Struthio camelus: one gene and its partner. The protein of the gene in region 2 interacts with the protein of the main gene of each other region in a pairwise test. Links are inferred from orthologs where the notes say so. Each region holds a gene or a part of one and is shown on either strand. Other genes may lie near its edges.

What was found. The genes of interacting proteins can lie anywhere in the genome.
Region 1: the proteins of CEP44 (region 2) and AQP1 interact in binary tests that used the Homo sapiens proteins (3 or more experiments, as listed by UniProt). The link is inferred for Struthio camelus from reciprocal best matches to the Homo sapiens genes CEP44 and AQP1.

The regions. Positions count from the first base shown.
Region 1 is NC_090943.1:5,170,239-5,178,255, forward strand, and holds the start of AQP1 (aquaporin-1), read right to left. Parts: upstream 3,028-8,017; 5' UTR 1,899-3,027; coding exon 1,509-1,898; intron 1-1,508. UniProt on the Homo sapiens protein: Forms a water channel that facilitates the transport of water across cell membranes, playing a crucial role in water homeostasis in various tissues.
Region 2 is NC_090945.1:46,872,998-46,880,405, forward strand, and holds the start of CEP44 (centrosomal protein of 44 kDa), read left to right. Parts: upstream 1-4,361; 5' UTR 4,362-4,847; intron 4,848-5,773; exon of another isoform or gene 5,774-5,808; 5' UTR 5,809-5,980; intron 5,981-7,408. Other genes in the region: FBXO8 (F-box only protein 8), read right to left, coding at 3,635-3,680. UniProt on the Homo sapiens protein: Centriole-enriched microtubule-binding protein involved in centriole biogenesis. In collaboration with CEP295 and POC1B, is required for the centriole-to-centrosome conversion by ensuring the formation of bona fide centriole wall.

The DNA of each region.
Region 1 (8,017 bases), on a different chromosome or scaffold from region 2:
ATTAACCCTATTAAGATTTCAAAAGTGGTGGCACAAGGAGGTACCTGCAGGCACCAGACTCCGAAGAGGGAGGTAAGCACCTAACCCTCAGAGTAATGCTGAGATGGATGATACACTTTGGCTACTCAGGAATGACCTTTTTAATACCAACTTTTATTACGTTTTAAAAAATCTTCACAGTCTCACTTTTGGAGTTAACTATAACGGCATAGCATGCTAAAACATGTTACCCTATTTGTGCATTTAACTTTTGTTTATTTTTTCTTCCCCTTTTGCCCAAATGATTTATGAAGAGACCTTTGATTTGGAGCTTTAGGTCCCAAATATCCCTACGACTTCAACTGGACATAATATTTCAAATAGGTTCAAGTCCCAGACTGCAGCCAGAAATAGTCTGCAAGAGAGGGGCCACGGAAAAGATGTGATATATTTGTCCTTAACAGCATCAGGTGAGAAAAGTGACTAGAAGGGAATTTCCACTTATAATACTCCTCTTTGGATTGTGACCCAAATATTTGTGGCTGTGGGACTGCCTCTGACAATGGGATGATTTAATGTTTAAAAAGTGTATCTATCCTTTTCACGGCTGCTATGCTAAAATAAGAACAATAAAATGACAGCAATTTTTAGAGGGAACAGTTGCAGCCAAGCACTGAAATATTCAAAGTACTTTTTATGCAATGCGACTGTTAATAGCTGTGAGCAGCAGGCTAGAAGAGGGCTGAAACCTTCATCCCTGTTAAATGTCATTGCCTCACCTCTTTCTGCAGCTTACATCTCAGAATTCAGTGTTTTCCTCATCTTTTGAATAGCAAAAGCAGGAGCACAAGGAAAGCGCAGCTGTCATTGTGTCAGGCAGGAACTGAGCCTAATGCAACAGGTAATGCTCACAGCTTCCTCTTGCTACACATCCCTCTCTGTGTCTTTTTCCATAGGTTCTTACATTGCAGTCATCATCAGGCTACAGAAATCATTAATTAGGTATTGAAAAAAGAACCACATTCACACATGGGAAAACAACATCGCTGTATGCACATTCATCAGCATCGCAAGTCGCAGGCATGTTATCTGAGACCTTTAGCACCATCACAGGGATCGACCTCGCAACTGGCAGTGATTTCAATGCTAAATTGGCATCAAAAGGCGACTTTTATCAACGCAGAGATACAAAACTAAACATGAGCAAAACTGGTCGTGACCACAGTGTCCTCTAGCTTTAGAAAGGGGGTGGGGAGAAGGGACCTTCTCTACGACATCTCTTGCAAAGGAAAAGGATTAATAAAGTGCTTAAGCTGACAGCACAGGGTACCTATATCCTAGATTCACCCTGGCGTCAATCAGTCAGGACTGGATCCCCCCCCTAAACTGAGCCATTGGCTGAGTGAAGCTACCATCGCCCTCTACATACGCACACACACACCCACACGCACCCCCTTAGTAGCTTGCTGGTGTTACCCTCACATTTCTACATTAAAAATGAAGGAGGAATCAAAAGTTTCTCTGCTTACCGCGTTGAGCCCCAGGAGGTTGTTTGGGAGAGACGAGGTGACTCCCGAGAGGATCGCGGTGGCCACCACTGCCCCCAGGCACTGAGCGATGATGTACATGAGCGCCTTGAAGATGCTGATCTGGCAGCTCAGCAGAAGGCCCAGGGTCACCGCGGGGTTCAGGTGGGCACCGCTGATGTGGCCCACGCTTTGTGCCATGGTAGCAATGGATAACCCAAAAGCCAGCGAGACCTTCACGTTGTCTTGAGACCTTGTGGACGTTTTGTTGCCCACAACCGGGAAACTAAAACCCAGAGCCGAGCCAATGCTGATAAAAATAAAGAGGCTCATGGCAAAGAACTCAGCCACCACCGCCCTCCAGAACATTTTCTTTTTGAATTCACTAGCCATCTTTCCCTTCCCTCGCTCTCTCTCTCTCTCTCGCACTTTCCCTTCTTCTCCCTCTCTCCCTTCTTCTGCTTGATATTTTCCCTTTGAGGTCTGAAGAGAAATCTGGAGAAAAAATAGAGTTCTTGGATTATTTATAGGGCTTTGGGTGGTCTGTAGGAGGGAAGGGGTGTTGCACAAAAGGAGGAAAGAACATCTACATAGATGCTGACTGCTAGATTGATGTAAGACACTGCATGCCTGCCAAAGTTTTTTCTTCCCCCTTTTTTTTTTTTTCCCCTTCCCTTAACAGCCTTCGATCTCTGCTGCCGTTTTTAAGAGGCTTTTTTAAAATCTTTGGAAAAGTCTTTAGGAGCACCGCAGGAATTTTACCTTCACTCGTTTGACTTCTCTATCGCCATTCAGCCCACAGACTGGGCTGAGAGCTTTTACAGGATTTCTCCCTCGTGCTGGACTAAACAAAAAGAAAAGTTATCTGTGCAGGCTGGTAAGTTGTTCATGCTCAGCTTCACCGGCAGCCGGTGACATCCGAAAGCAATAAATAAAATCAACAACTAAATCGGCGCTCCAGGGACTTAAATGACTCCGTTTCATTTGAAAACAGGTGGGAACCTCTCCTCTGCTGGCTCTGCGCAGACTTGGACGCATTTCTGATGCCAAGCCTGACAGATGTACAAACATATATGTTTACACAGACTCACACAAACAGGTCTTGACCGACTAACGGTTGCGAGTCGTTCTAATCCCTGCGACCACCGCGTAAAGCTGAAATAACTCCACTGCAGGTCAGCTGGGTGCTTCATACGCCGGCGGTTCGGACCCGAAAGAGCTGCCCTCTGCAGCTAGAGGAGGCGTTCGGGTTTGCAGAAGAGCCAGTCTGATCTAGCCCGCGTCTCCGTGCCCGGCTCCTCTCCGCCAGCGCACGGGGTTTGCATTAGCGCTAGGTCGAAGCGCAGGTTCTCTGCACCCTTTTTGCTCTGCCCTTGAGAGGTTTATGCTTAAGCGGAGGGGAAGAAATCGTGCTGAGGGACGTATGAAATGGGCATTTACTTCGTTTCTTCACTTTTTCCGCCTCCCCCCACCCCCTCCCCGTCCCAACCAGAGGCGTCTCAGGGTTTCCCTGGGCTCGCTCTCCTGCCTTCCTTCCGACCGGCAGGAAAAAAGCCAATCTGGGGGCTTCCTAACCCACATCCTGAAGTGAAAGTATAGCCTGCAGACATCCAGCGCTCCTCTCCTGAAGGTCAGCTGTCCCGGCAGTCACCAGGGAGACCGGCTGCTGCCGCCGCCGATGCACGGCACTGGCCGCAGACAGAGACACAGACTGCGGGACAAGGGAAATTACACGCTTGATTTTGCAGACAAAATGAATCTCCCAGCAGTGCCAGAGCGTCTCGAAGAGCAAAAGGTCTAACCTCTTCTGATGTTATCGCAGCAAGGTTTGTATACATGCCTTAGGTTAACCCCTGCGTTATCAGATCTCTGCGCGCTTTCGCAGCTGGCGGTGCCTTCGCCTCAAAGTCAGAGGGTTTGCTCTGACTTCAAGGATGCACCAGATCTGATCCAGGGTCAGAAGCAAATTGCCCAGGCAAAGTCTGGAAAGCAAGATGACTATTTAAAAACAGCTTACTTCTCTCTCTCTCCTCTTCTTTCTTCTTCTTCTTGCTTTAATGCACTGGTGTCAACTTTTAAATTGTAGTTTAATTAATTCAAGGCTTTCTCACCGAGGAAGTATGTCACTATGAAGACAAAGTCAAATACACACCTGGATAGCATTAGACAGTCAAGAAGGGCTTTTAAAATATATTGAGCTTTCAATAATTTGTTCAGATGCAAAGCTGAAGACTGCTTAAGTAAAAATCTAGATGTCTGCAGCCTGTCATGCCCAAACTCTTATGCTTTCTAGTTCTCAGATGTTCTTGATTTTCCAAAATAACCACTTTTATTTCTTTGTGTTTTATAATACACTTACCCAACAGAACTGTACCAATGGGGCAAAAACAGGAAAAATCAAATAAATTAGGATATGTTAGTTATTGTCTTTTACCCTTCTAATTGCAATGGGGCTAGAATGAGGAATCGCATGCTAGACCAATAAGAAATCAAATTCTGCCCAAGACAGTGTGTCCAATTTTAATGTGAGGTACAATCACAGTCAATTAACCAAGTATTTAAATTAAGTATTTTATTCAGTGGAATTTTTATTTATTGCAAATCCATTCTCTGAAACTTGAAGAGCAGAAGTGACCAGCTTCTCCGGTCCCACCCACAGAATGGCCAAGACACAAGGCATATCTCATACCTCAGGGAACTGAGTGAGGGAAAGAAGAGCTCTATGAATAGTTTACAAGAGCAAGTACTTTCCAGGTGTCCCAAATTGGCATCCGTGGGATGGAGCTGCCTTGCCATTCTGCTGTGCCTGCAGGAAATTCCTTCTTTACTCACCTCTTCCTACAATTAGGATTTGGACTACCTAACAACCTCTGTACCGGTACTGATAAGGCAAGAAGGAATCCCTCACATGAGAAAGACAAGGCATGAGTAGAGCAGCAACGCTCTCCGCAGATTTAACCCCCTTGTGATGATTCCAGCCCTTTGACATCACGGTTTGTCCTAGGGAAATGTCTGTTCAGAAATCTCCTCCACAACGCAGTTCAGTATGGTGCTTTTCTCCAAAATGAGCTCCACCCCATTCTTTCTCAGATTAATGACAAATACCCCAGCACTTGGTCAAGTTTTCTACCCATAGACCCAGTCCCCATAAACTGCTGTGAACCAAAAAAGGGCAAAATCCAGTGTCTTGTGCAATGGATGAGCTGGGTTTGTCCAGACAGGTTTTCTAGGCATGGTTCATAGCTTATTGTCAAATCACACTTGAAGATGAGTTTCGGGGTTTTTTTGGAATTATGCAGCTAGAAATGGAGACATGACCGCCAAGCTTACACAAGTATTTAGGATAGGCAGTGAAGGGCAGGCACGTATCTGATGGGAGCTAGAGGGAGAAAGTAGCTTTTGAGCTGTGGGGTTATTCTTTACAGATGATTTAAATCACTATACACTCTTAACATTATTTATTTGCACTAGAGACAGCTGAGAGAAGAATCAACCTCACAGAAGTGGATATTTAATGGCCAGGATCCCAGGACAGACTCATTTTTCCTCTAAAACAAATCAGATTCTGAAGGGCTGCAGCACAATCCTTGCTTAACAATTCAGTCAGAAAACAAATGTACTCATTGGTTAAGTGGCAGGCTTTGTTCTGTGCTCCCACATGTCACATTGCTCACAGTCTCTCTACTATTTGAACAAGAAACAAATGTGACTACAAGTTTGGTCTTGGCTAACATGACTTCTCCGGGAATTTTCCACTTAGGTGAAGGAATAACGTTGAAGGGCAGAGGGAACGTATGTCGGTCCAGAGACCAAATGACCAGAACCAGGGGCACTTTAGCAAACTAAAATTGTTCTCTTCTTGAGAAGAATTGCAGTCATCCTGCAACTCCACCAGCCAAGTATTTTAGTAGGGTCAATCAAATGTTTTAGCATGCAAGTGGGGATTGCTAGGAATATTTTACTCACAGTTCTGGAAACACCAACAACCACTTTCCGCCTATAGATTTTCACCTCTCTGAAGCATTGCTAACTTTCTCACCACTGTGAAGAATCGTAGGTCCATGTTTTCACAGCCCAGCAATTCAGAAAAATGGAAAGAAGTTCGGCACTGTTAGCTGAAATGAAAACATTTTCCCATGTGCTCTATTCAGTGCCATCCATATAGAAAGTTGAAATTTAGAAGCTGGGTTTTCTGTGAGAAATCATGCTCTAGATCTTAATGGTAAATCACCCTTTGATGGTAAGATTTCCGTGGTTTCCACTGGGCCTAATGGAAACATAGTTATGTATTTCTTATATTCATTGAAACGATGCTTCGAGAAGACACTTAGACCCAGATTCTGTTTTAAATTACACTAGTGTTTGTCTAGGATAATGCCACTGATTTGAACAAATTTACATCACTATTATTTCAGTCAGGAGCTACTTCTTGATCTGACTCAGTTCTCTTTCTGGTTAGAAGAAGACCTCCTCCTGATTGTTATCATAACAAAGTACAAGGCAGTGATTGAGTCAATGCACAGACTCTCAGGAATCTTTCTGCAAGAGAGACACCTGAGCATAACTGGTTCACTACAGCATGACTTAGGTGTCCAAGACTGGAGGTGGTTTCACACTGAATTCCTGACTTATGATCCTAAATTCAGGAAAGAAGGAAGATTTCAGACATATTCCTCTCATATTCCTCTCATAGCATTTCCTATCAGCCGACTTGCTCAATACACCGACTGCTGGGAATGCCTTTCTTAGCTGCTCAGCTGACCCTTTTCCCTGTATGCTAAACTCACAGCCTTTAATATCCTCTTAGAGAGCTGGACATCTAAATCCCTTTGTGAGGCTGGATTTAACTCTCAAAATCTCAGCTGAGAGGATCAAAAGTTATCAATTCTGTGAATCACTGTTGTGCTGGGATCAGAGACGGTGTGTCACTCTCTAATGAGCAAGATGCAAAGGCATAGAGTCCACATGTTTAATTTTCATTTGGTATTTCATGATTCAGTAATATTCAGTAAATTTCATGATTCAGTAGGTTCTACAGACCCACTAAATTTTTTCCTGTTCTTAGATAAAAACCTGTACATTCTACCATGGTTATCTGCTTATTCTAATTTTCTTTTGATGGATTTTCTTTCCTTCTTTTTTTTTTTTTTTTAATCACTACATATGGATTTGTAAGCCTCCTTAATACAATGCCTGTTCCCAGTCATCCTTTTTTTTCTTTTCTTCCAGATCATAAGATAGTAAAGAAAAAAAGATCACAAAACAAAGAAACAAAAGCGAGAGAGAAGTTTAGCACAGAATATATGAAGCAACAAGATCTGTGACTGTATAAATGAATGAATGAAATTCAATATCGGCAGAGGTAAACCTGTTTATATCAATGACCAATTTGATCTAGACAAATAAGACGATGATTAGAAAATTATTTCCTCTTGAAGGAGGTTTCTAAGGTGTCCGAAAAGAAAATCATTCAGTAATGTCCTTGGAGAGTTTGCTTCAAATTTCATCTCCAGTTGTTTTCTCCTCTGAGAATAAAAGACTCTATTGTACACCCTGACAAAATATATAATGGAATAGTGAATGTGTTTGTATAGAAGGCTTTTTCATGGTAAGTGCAACAAAGCCACAGAGATGGCATGTATCTCACCTAACTGTAGGAATCTATCACAAAAATGTCTCCAACTAAGCTGCCGTCCTTTGGCTCACTTTTTAGTGAATGCGCAGTGCGGACATTTTCAGGATTTCTGTGATTGCACAGCTTCATTTTAGATATCTACAATTCATTGACACCGTTCCCACAGCTATTTAGGGTGCCCTGGCTGCCTAGCTCCAGAATAAACACTTACTTTCTCTGGGAATCCTAATTCTACGGCCACAAGGGCTGTACCAATCAGGTCCATCAAAGGACTGCTACTCTTTATTTAACACATCTATGATACGAAATAATAAAGATGATTGATTGTCTTCCAACTGGTAGGTAAAAGGCAATTTCCCAGGCAACTTCTAAATCAGCCTGCACCAGGAACAAGGTTTGGTAAAGGGCTGATTGTCTCGTCACCCCAAGTTCTCGGCATCATCTCTTCCAAGGAAATGGTGTTATGAGTCACAAGTGCCCGCAAGTCGTCGTGTGGAAAGGTTAGTTTCTCTGGCAATACTACCACACTAAGGGTTAAATTCTTTTTTTTTTTTTTTTTCCCCCTTAGCAAACATATTTAGCAACAATTGTCCTTTTAAGTTTCCTGTGCCCAGTGCATCACTGGGAAGTTGACCAAGTTTTTTCTTTTTCTTTTCTTTTTTTTTTCCCCTTCACATTATGTTACATAAAATGACAAGTCTGCCAGGAATACTGGGCATGACACATCCCTGACTGTGCCTTGGTAGTTCATTACGAACACAGGAGGTGAATAAACCATTGTTACTTGCGATAGGAAAGTTTTCAGTATGGATCACAGTTTGCTTCTAAATGTACAGACAAAAATCAGGGTCAGTCTTCCGCTCCCATAATTCGCGGG
Region 2 (7,408 bases):
TATATCTTAATTATCACAATTAGTAAACTGTTTGTTATTTTTTGTCAACTTCTGTTGTAGATGGTAATAAAAGCAGATGGTGAAAATTATTTAGTTGCCAAGATTTCTGAATGACACATTTCATATTTCATTAACATCCTGTATGTACTAAGAGGGAAAATGAAAGTAGTATAAATCACACTTAATCTAATTTAGTCTGGGAATGTTGTCTGAATCCTGTTGGAAGTACTGTATATATAGTGATATATCTCTTATTTTTCAGCTTTTGCTGTGAAGATAGTTTAGTATAAACGATGGCACTAGGAATCTGCAGGTTCCTGATGCTGACTTTCATAGAAAAAATGCTGAAGAATTAAAAAAAAAAAAAGTATGGTGAGGCCTGGCCTGGCCTCACATGCGTTTTTAGTTATTTATTTTCTGCTAGCACACGGAATTAAAATTGGGCCTTAATCTGTTAAAGGTCAGAAATAGGTGGAAATAGTTCTACATAAGCAGAAAAAACAGACCATGGATGAGGTGAGGGATCATGGGAGAAAAATGGAGAAATGAAACGAAAGAAAAAAGTATAATCAAGACAGAGACTGACGAAAGACAGAGGTTCAGCTGGTTGGTGAAGCAGTTATCCACATAAAATCTATTCACTGCAATTGAAGAATTCATTACTTCAGTCACATATTCAAAAAAATCTAGTCCTTGATGTCAAAGATCTATGTTGGAGCCTTCCTTTCTGAGCTTTTAATCTAGATAAGGTCAAAGGTATGTGGAAACTGCAATCATATGTGTAATAACCAATTTAGTGATATGTAAAATCTTAAATAAAATCATCATTACTTTTACTTTCACTTTCTGTACAGTTATATATTTGGCCTAAGGTTTTTTTTTTAGCAGACTGAAGACAGGTTAAGCCATAATCAACAGTTATACTAGGCAAGTGTTTAAAAAAAACTTACTGAGTCACACCATAAATAGGATATACAATCTGCTGCAAGAATGTAATCATAAGAAGTTATTTTTATTTTCTCAAGATCAACATTTAACTTTTCAAAAGCCCTTAGCACCACTGGTGAACTTGCTTCATGAGAGGAAGCCATACTGCAACCTGCCACTTAAAAATGGCAGCACAAGAACGAGCGGTCTGCTGAGAGTGGGCATTAGTAACTTATGCTGATTTTTGCAATTGATTTATGGAACATAGTTCAAGATGTAAAGAAAACCCATTTATTTACAAGATGAAGGACTCTGCCTGTATCTTTCACTCTATAGCCAGAGTACAGTAAGAGCACTTAACAGACACTCTCAGAGATGCAGTTGTTCAGTGCCAACTTTTTTTGTTTTTAAACAAGAACAAGGAGAAAGAAGCTATTAACCTTCATCCAAGGGGAGTATCACCACTGTCATTTGTAACAACACCACCAATTGTAACAATACTACTAAAAGAATCAGTGGGAGGTGTGTCAGAATTGGCATTTGGGACTACAAGCACAACCCCATCGAAGCTCTTGCCACTCCCAACTCCAGTTACCGCTACTGCTGCTGTCGCTACCTTGGAGCAGAGAGAGTATATAGTGATGTGCTGTAAGGAACTATGTTAAGAAACAGCTTTTATAGGTAGGCATTAACAGCCAAGCGCTATTAGGAACGGAGAGAAGACTCTCCTAAGGGATGAGAGAAGCGGACAGGGAATATTTCTGAACAAATACAACATTTCAAAAAGGGCTACTATGACTGAACTACAGAATTCACTTGAGATCGAACTCCCATTTTGCTAGGCACAATATACGCGCTGGTTAATTACCTAAGTACAGTACTTAAACAGTAAACAAGTATCTCTAAATATCTTCCGAGGCTTCAATCAATTCTTGCCCTTAGCCTTGGGAGTAACACTGTCACCAAGTAATTACACGTGCAAATATGCAGATGCAAATTTTGGAGGCTGTCTGTGTTCACTTACAGCAGGTATCAGATGATCTGAATGACTGAATAGCAATGACTATTCAATTCAACTCTGTAAAGGAAATATTAGGTGTAAAAAGATATGTGCATGTATGCCCACATACAAAAGCACATGATGTGGATGTAACTCGAATACATCCTGCATGTTTTCTCAGTGCAGCTCTTTGTGTAAAAACAAAAACAATACTACACAAAATGATAAAATAACTAAGCAGTAAGAGATAATTTTCAAGGATGGAAAGAATCTGGAGTGTGGGGTTGTAGTTCCTCATCATTATTCCAAGTCATTAATCAAGACAGCAACAGAAATCAGTAAAGAAAATAATGACAACATTGAAATAACAAACCTTAAATTTCACGAAATAGGAAACGATCAAACCTATTCCAAATAAACAATGTATGTCATGTAGAGAAAAATGAAATGTCAATTAAATGCTGAAATCTGTTTCTGGAGCTAATTTTTGATAGGACAAATTATGGAATGCATTTTGCTAGTATTTTTGTTATCTCTTCTGACATTACTTTATATCATTATAACAAATCCACATTTCTATATACATTTGTTAATTCCAAATTGATAAAAAATGTCTTTCGAAAATAATTATTTAGACATGCTTTAAATAAAAAAAAAGCAGTAACAAGAAGTTTAAGGCTCTGAAGAATGGTAGGAATCATATTGTGGTAAGTTTCATAATCATAATATCCCAGAAAGACGGGAGTGAAAGAGCAGCAGCATTAGCAGAAATAGGTCATCAAAAGACTGTGTCTGATAAATTATCAAGTGAACTTTACACCATGAGCAATTTTATACTAGCTTCAAAACCTTTTCACAGTCAGATTATCTTTCTGTTGTGTATACAGTATTTGTAAAGAATTCGTAGTGGTTGCAAGAGATCAAGTTTTCCTACTTAGCCCCCAAATAAATACCCACATTTTAGCTGCTAGTTTCGTGTTCATGGAACACCAGTAGTTTTTGCTGATGTTCACAGGGCTTTTCTCCCTGCATAAAAAATTGGGATTTTGACCCACCAGCTACAACATAATCACTTCTAAATTATTTAATGTTAGAAAGTGGCTCCAAGATAGAAAAAAGTACTATCTTTCAAGAAACTAGACTGTTATGATGTAAGTCTTCTTCCTATAGCTACCACAATGATACAGAAGACATCACAGCATAAATCTTAAAACTCTTTTTTTTAACTTGAAAATTGATGAAAAGATATACCGTACGTGTTTTATGCCGAGTACCAACTGAAGAACTTTCACAAATGACACAAGGGCAGGTACAATTTAACCAACCTGGAACCAACTGTTGGAAAACTTTAAGCTTTAATAAGTATGAAGTTATCCAGGAGCTTATATGCCATTTTAGCTCATATATTTATTTTTCTTGATCAAACAGTTATTTTCAGCTTTACAGTAAACTACAGTGAATGCTCCGAGAACTCGCTTGTAACAGAAGATGACTAAACCCATTGTTACTGTAAACGCACCTAGAACTATATTGTTAAATGTATTCTGCATATCCATCTTCAGCCTTCAGATTCAATAAGCCGCTTAAATGTACATTCCCAAACTCTCAATTATGCAGCTTTACCTAATAACCGAAAGCTTTCAATGGCTTGGCTGTAATAATTATCAAAGGGAAAACACTCATCAAGCTTATTTATAACGTGCTGACCTTGTGTGTGTGATGTATGCCAGCGTCTGGTTTCAATTTTTATCATGCCTTCTTCACGTTACACCTTGTTACCGGATAATAAACTCTTTACAGTGTTGAAGAGCATGATGGGATACTAAAACCTAAACGTAACCCGGGTTAAAACAACGCTTCGTTGTTACCCTGTTCTGCTTCACCAAATAAAACACAACACAGCGTCCTGACCTGAAAACCCTCCTCTTTCTGGTCACCGGCCCGTACGGGCGGTGCTCTGTGACCACTATCACCCTCACAGCCATAGTGCCAAAGCTGAAGTTCATTCACCGCAGCCGCGAGCGACGCCCGCAAACAGCCCTTCACATGCAAAGCCTGAAAATCTTCATTTCGAACCACCACGCTCGCCGTTCCCCAGGCAAACCCGGCTCCTCACCCTCCAGGCTGCCGGAGCTGCCGCCCGCCCCCGGGCACCCCCCGCCGCCGGCCACCTCGCCCAGGCCGGCTCCCCGCCGGGGTGCCCCCTCCCCGGCACCCCTCCCAGGCGCGCTCCTACCGGCAGAGGGGCCGCGCGGCCCCCACCGCCGCCGGCACCGGGCGGGCCGCCGCCGTCAGTCCCGCCCCCGCACGCCATAGGGCTGCCCCAAGCACCTCGCCTCCTGATTGGCTGTGCCGCCCGTCCATCCGCCCCCCTCCGTCCCGTCCCCGCCCCGCCCCGCCCCGCCTCGCGGGAAACCTGTGCTCGCCCGTACCTGCGCCAGCTCGGGTTCCAACCGCCGCCGCGACGAGCCCGGCCCGAGTCGGTGCGTGGGCCTCCCGGTGCGTGGTGGGACGGGGCTCCCGCAGCCCCGAGCGGCAGGGAGGGGCGAGAGGAGCTGGGCAGGCCCCGCCGCCGCAGCTGCCGCCGCCGCCTCTCGCCTGGCAGGTTTGACGTTTGCCGTTTGCCCTTGTTGCTGGAAGTGACGTCTCCTCGGGCAGGCTCCGCGGAAGCGGAAGCCGCCGGGGTTTCGTGGCGGCAGATTCAATCCGCGCCCTAGGTCGGACGGCCCCGTGCCGCGGACGAAGCAGGGGAAGGCGGTCGCGGTCGGCGAGCCGGAGCCGGAGCCGGAGCCCGGGCCGGAGGGCTCCCCTCCGCAGCGCAGGCCGCCCCAGCGGCGAGGAGGGAGTGCGGAATCTGCCGATCCGGAGCAGGCGCCCTAGTGGCGGGCCGCTTCCCGCGCCGGGCTGGCAGTTGGCGCAGGTGAGTGTCGGGGCCGGGGGCGCCGTTGGGGGGGGCGGCGGCGGTGGCGGCTCGTCCCTCCCGCGGGGTCCTTCGTCTCCTCGAGGGGCGGCGAGCCGCCGGGGCAGAGCGGCCTCCGGTCGGGCCAGGGGTTGAAGAAGGGCGGAGGGGGAGCCCGGCCCGGCGGCCTTCGTCCGCCGCGGTTAGGGTGGCGAGCAGGGCCGCCGCGCAGCCGCTCGTGCGGTGCGCTCGTTGCCGAGTGCCCGCTGTGTTGGAATCGCGTCTGTTACAGCTAGCGCGATACTGAAGGGCAGTATTTCTTCTTGACGCTTTTGGGCCTCCACAAAACAGCCTGACCTTCCTTCCCCCCCCCCCCCCCCCAGATTTTTTAATATATTTTGTATATATATATTTATATCCATATTTAGATGTTGTTATGCCTGAGTTGTAGGGAAAAAGAACATGATGCTTTACTTTGGACAGCTTATGTTATATTGGCTCTTCTGTCATAAATTCCTACAGACAAAAGTTACTTTACATAATATTCATCTTTGCAATGTATTAAATTATTCTCTACCCACTTGAATCTATTCAACTTCTACTCTATTATTTTTATGACCTATTGAGCTAGTCAGAGGTTTGTAGCCAAGCTAGAAATGAAGGTTATCATCACAGCTTTTTATATCCAGAGGTTTGGTGTGGAAATGATTGTTAGTTGTTTTGGGAAGCAACCTATGTCCTTGCAAGGATTCCATTTTGCTATGAGAGCATCTTCTGTGGTTATTTGCGTTGTAGATTGGAGCTTCAGTTTTACATTAAGCTCTTTGAGACTTTTCTTCAGGAACTAGTTTAAACTGCCAAAGCCACAGGCTGGCTCACTTTCGGGAGCCCATGAAGAAAGAATACCTGCCTCAGTTTGCAAATATTTGAGGTTCTATTTTCTCTAGGTCCTCAATGAAGTGTGTGGTGTGTTTATATTTAGCACAGCTAACACCTGCAACCTAATAATTTACCGGTAGAAGTCCTCAAAATCACGGGCACTGTGAAGAAGAAAATGCTTTAACGAGGGAAGAGCACACCTGAAATCTTAAGCTTCTTCAAGGTTACTAGTGTAAACACCACAGGCACACGAGAAGGGAAAAAAATGGAACGTTGTGAGTACAAGCTTTTAGTACATTTTTATTATGAGAGAAGTGTATGGTCAAGAACTTTCTTTTTAAAAGACTCTTCGCTTTAAATCTGTAATATCAAATAAGTGACTTGCAAACTGGAGTACTCATATGAGTTCTTTTCTGACGAAGATAGATATAATCTCCTTGGGGTGTTTCGTCTTTTGATCTGTGGTGGCTGAATCACATGCATTAGTGTGAGAAATTATATCATGAAATTCTTTATCTTGAAAATATATCTTCGACTATAGGTTGTGAAGCAGTGCGTCTTTGCTACTTGAACTGGTAAACTTCAAAGCATTTGTTTTCTGGCTAGAAAAGGAATTCAGCAGATGGTGGAAGGCAATTGTCTCCTAGGCTGTAGCAGAAAATTGAACAGTAAATTTCTGTACTAAGGTTTTATGGCTGAAATCATGACTCTTTCTGAGGCTTCTGGAGAACTACAGTAGCGGGTTAAGCCAGTTAGCTGCTAGCAGATTTGTAAAGAAGTGAGGAACATGTTGAATAAGCGCTGCTTTTTGTGAGAGATATCAACTTTCTCTTCTTGAGTTTTGGATTCTTTTTTTCTGTAGAGGTGGAAAGAACCTTCATCTTTCATACCCACTCTGTTGTCCAGACTCAGCATTATGATATTATTATTATTTTTTAATAGCTTAATTTTGAAAGAAGTTACATAAGAGATAGAAACTGGGGGTACTCTTTTAAGTTCTAGTTTATTTCCTTTAATAGCCATAAATTGTCTCCAAAGCCATTAACTACACTAATGTTTTTTAAAAATTATTGCTTTCCTTTGAGAATTGCAAAGTTCAGAACTTTGCAAGTGCTCCCCATACATTAGGAATATACTGATGAAGTTGCTTACAACTTTGTAGTTGCGCTTCCAGTCATGACTGGAACCTAATTATGTAGTTAGGCTTGCATAATTCTTTACCTCTTATGTTCAGATTTCTCTGCAGTTTCTTGAAACTAACTTTTCTTTATCTGCCTTGCTTTTTCTCTAATAAACAATTTAAAAAAAAACACTGAGCCTGGCAGTTTGCTAATGGACTTTCTCAAGTTCCAGCTGACTGAATGCTAAGATACAGGCTACTTGTTTTCACTTAAGACTTACAAGAGCTGAGCTATCCAGTCTGTGCTTTTTAAAGTCTTGTGTTGGAAAAGAACCAGTAATGGTTGCTTATAATTTCAAAACAAATCTTTGCAAGATATAGTAAACAATGTTCCCGAAGTGTCTCTAAATATTTATTTTGAAGCAATGGAGTGAGGGGTTGGGTTTCAAGGTAACTAGTACTGATACTTTGATTTGATTTCAAGTTAACTGCTTCAGGTGTCTCTTTAAATCTACTGAGCAGGCGTAGTTGCCACTGTTCTTAGCTCTCTTATGGCAATTAGTTCTCCTGAGTCTTCCCCTCC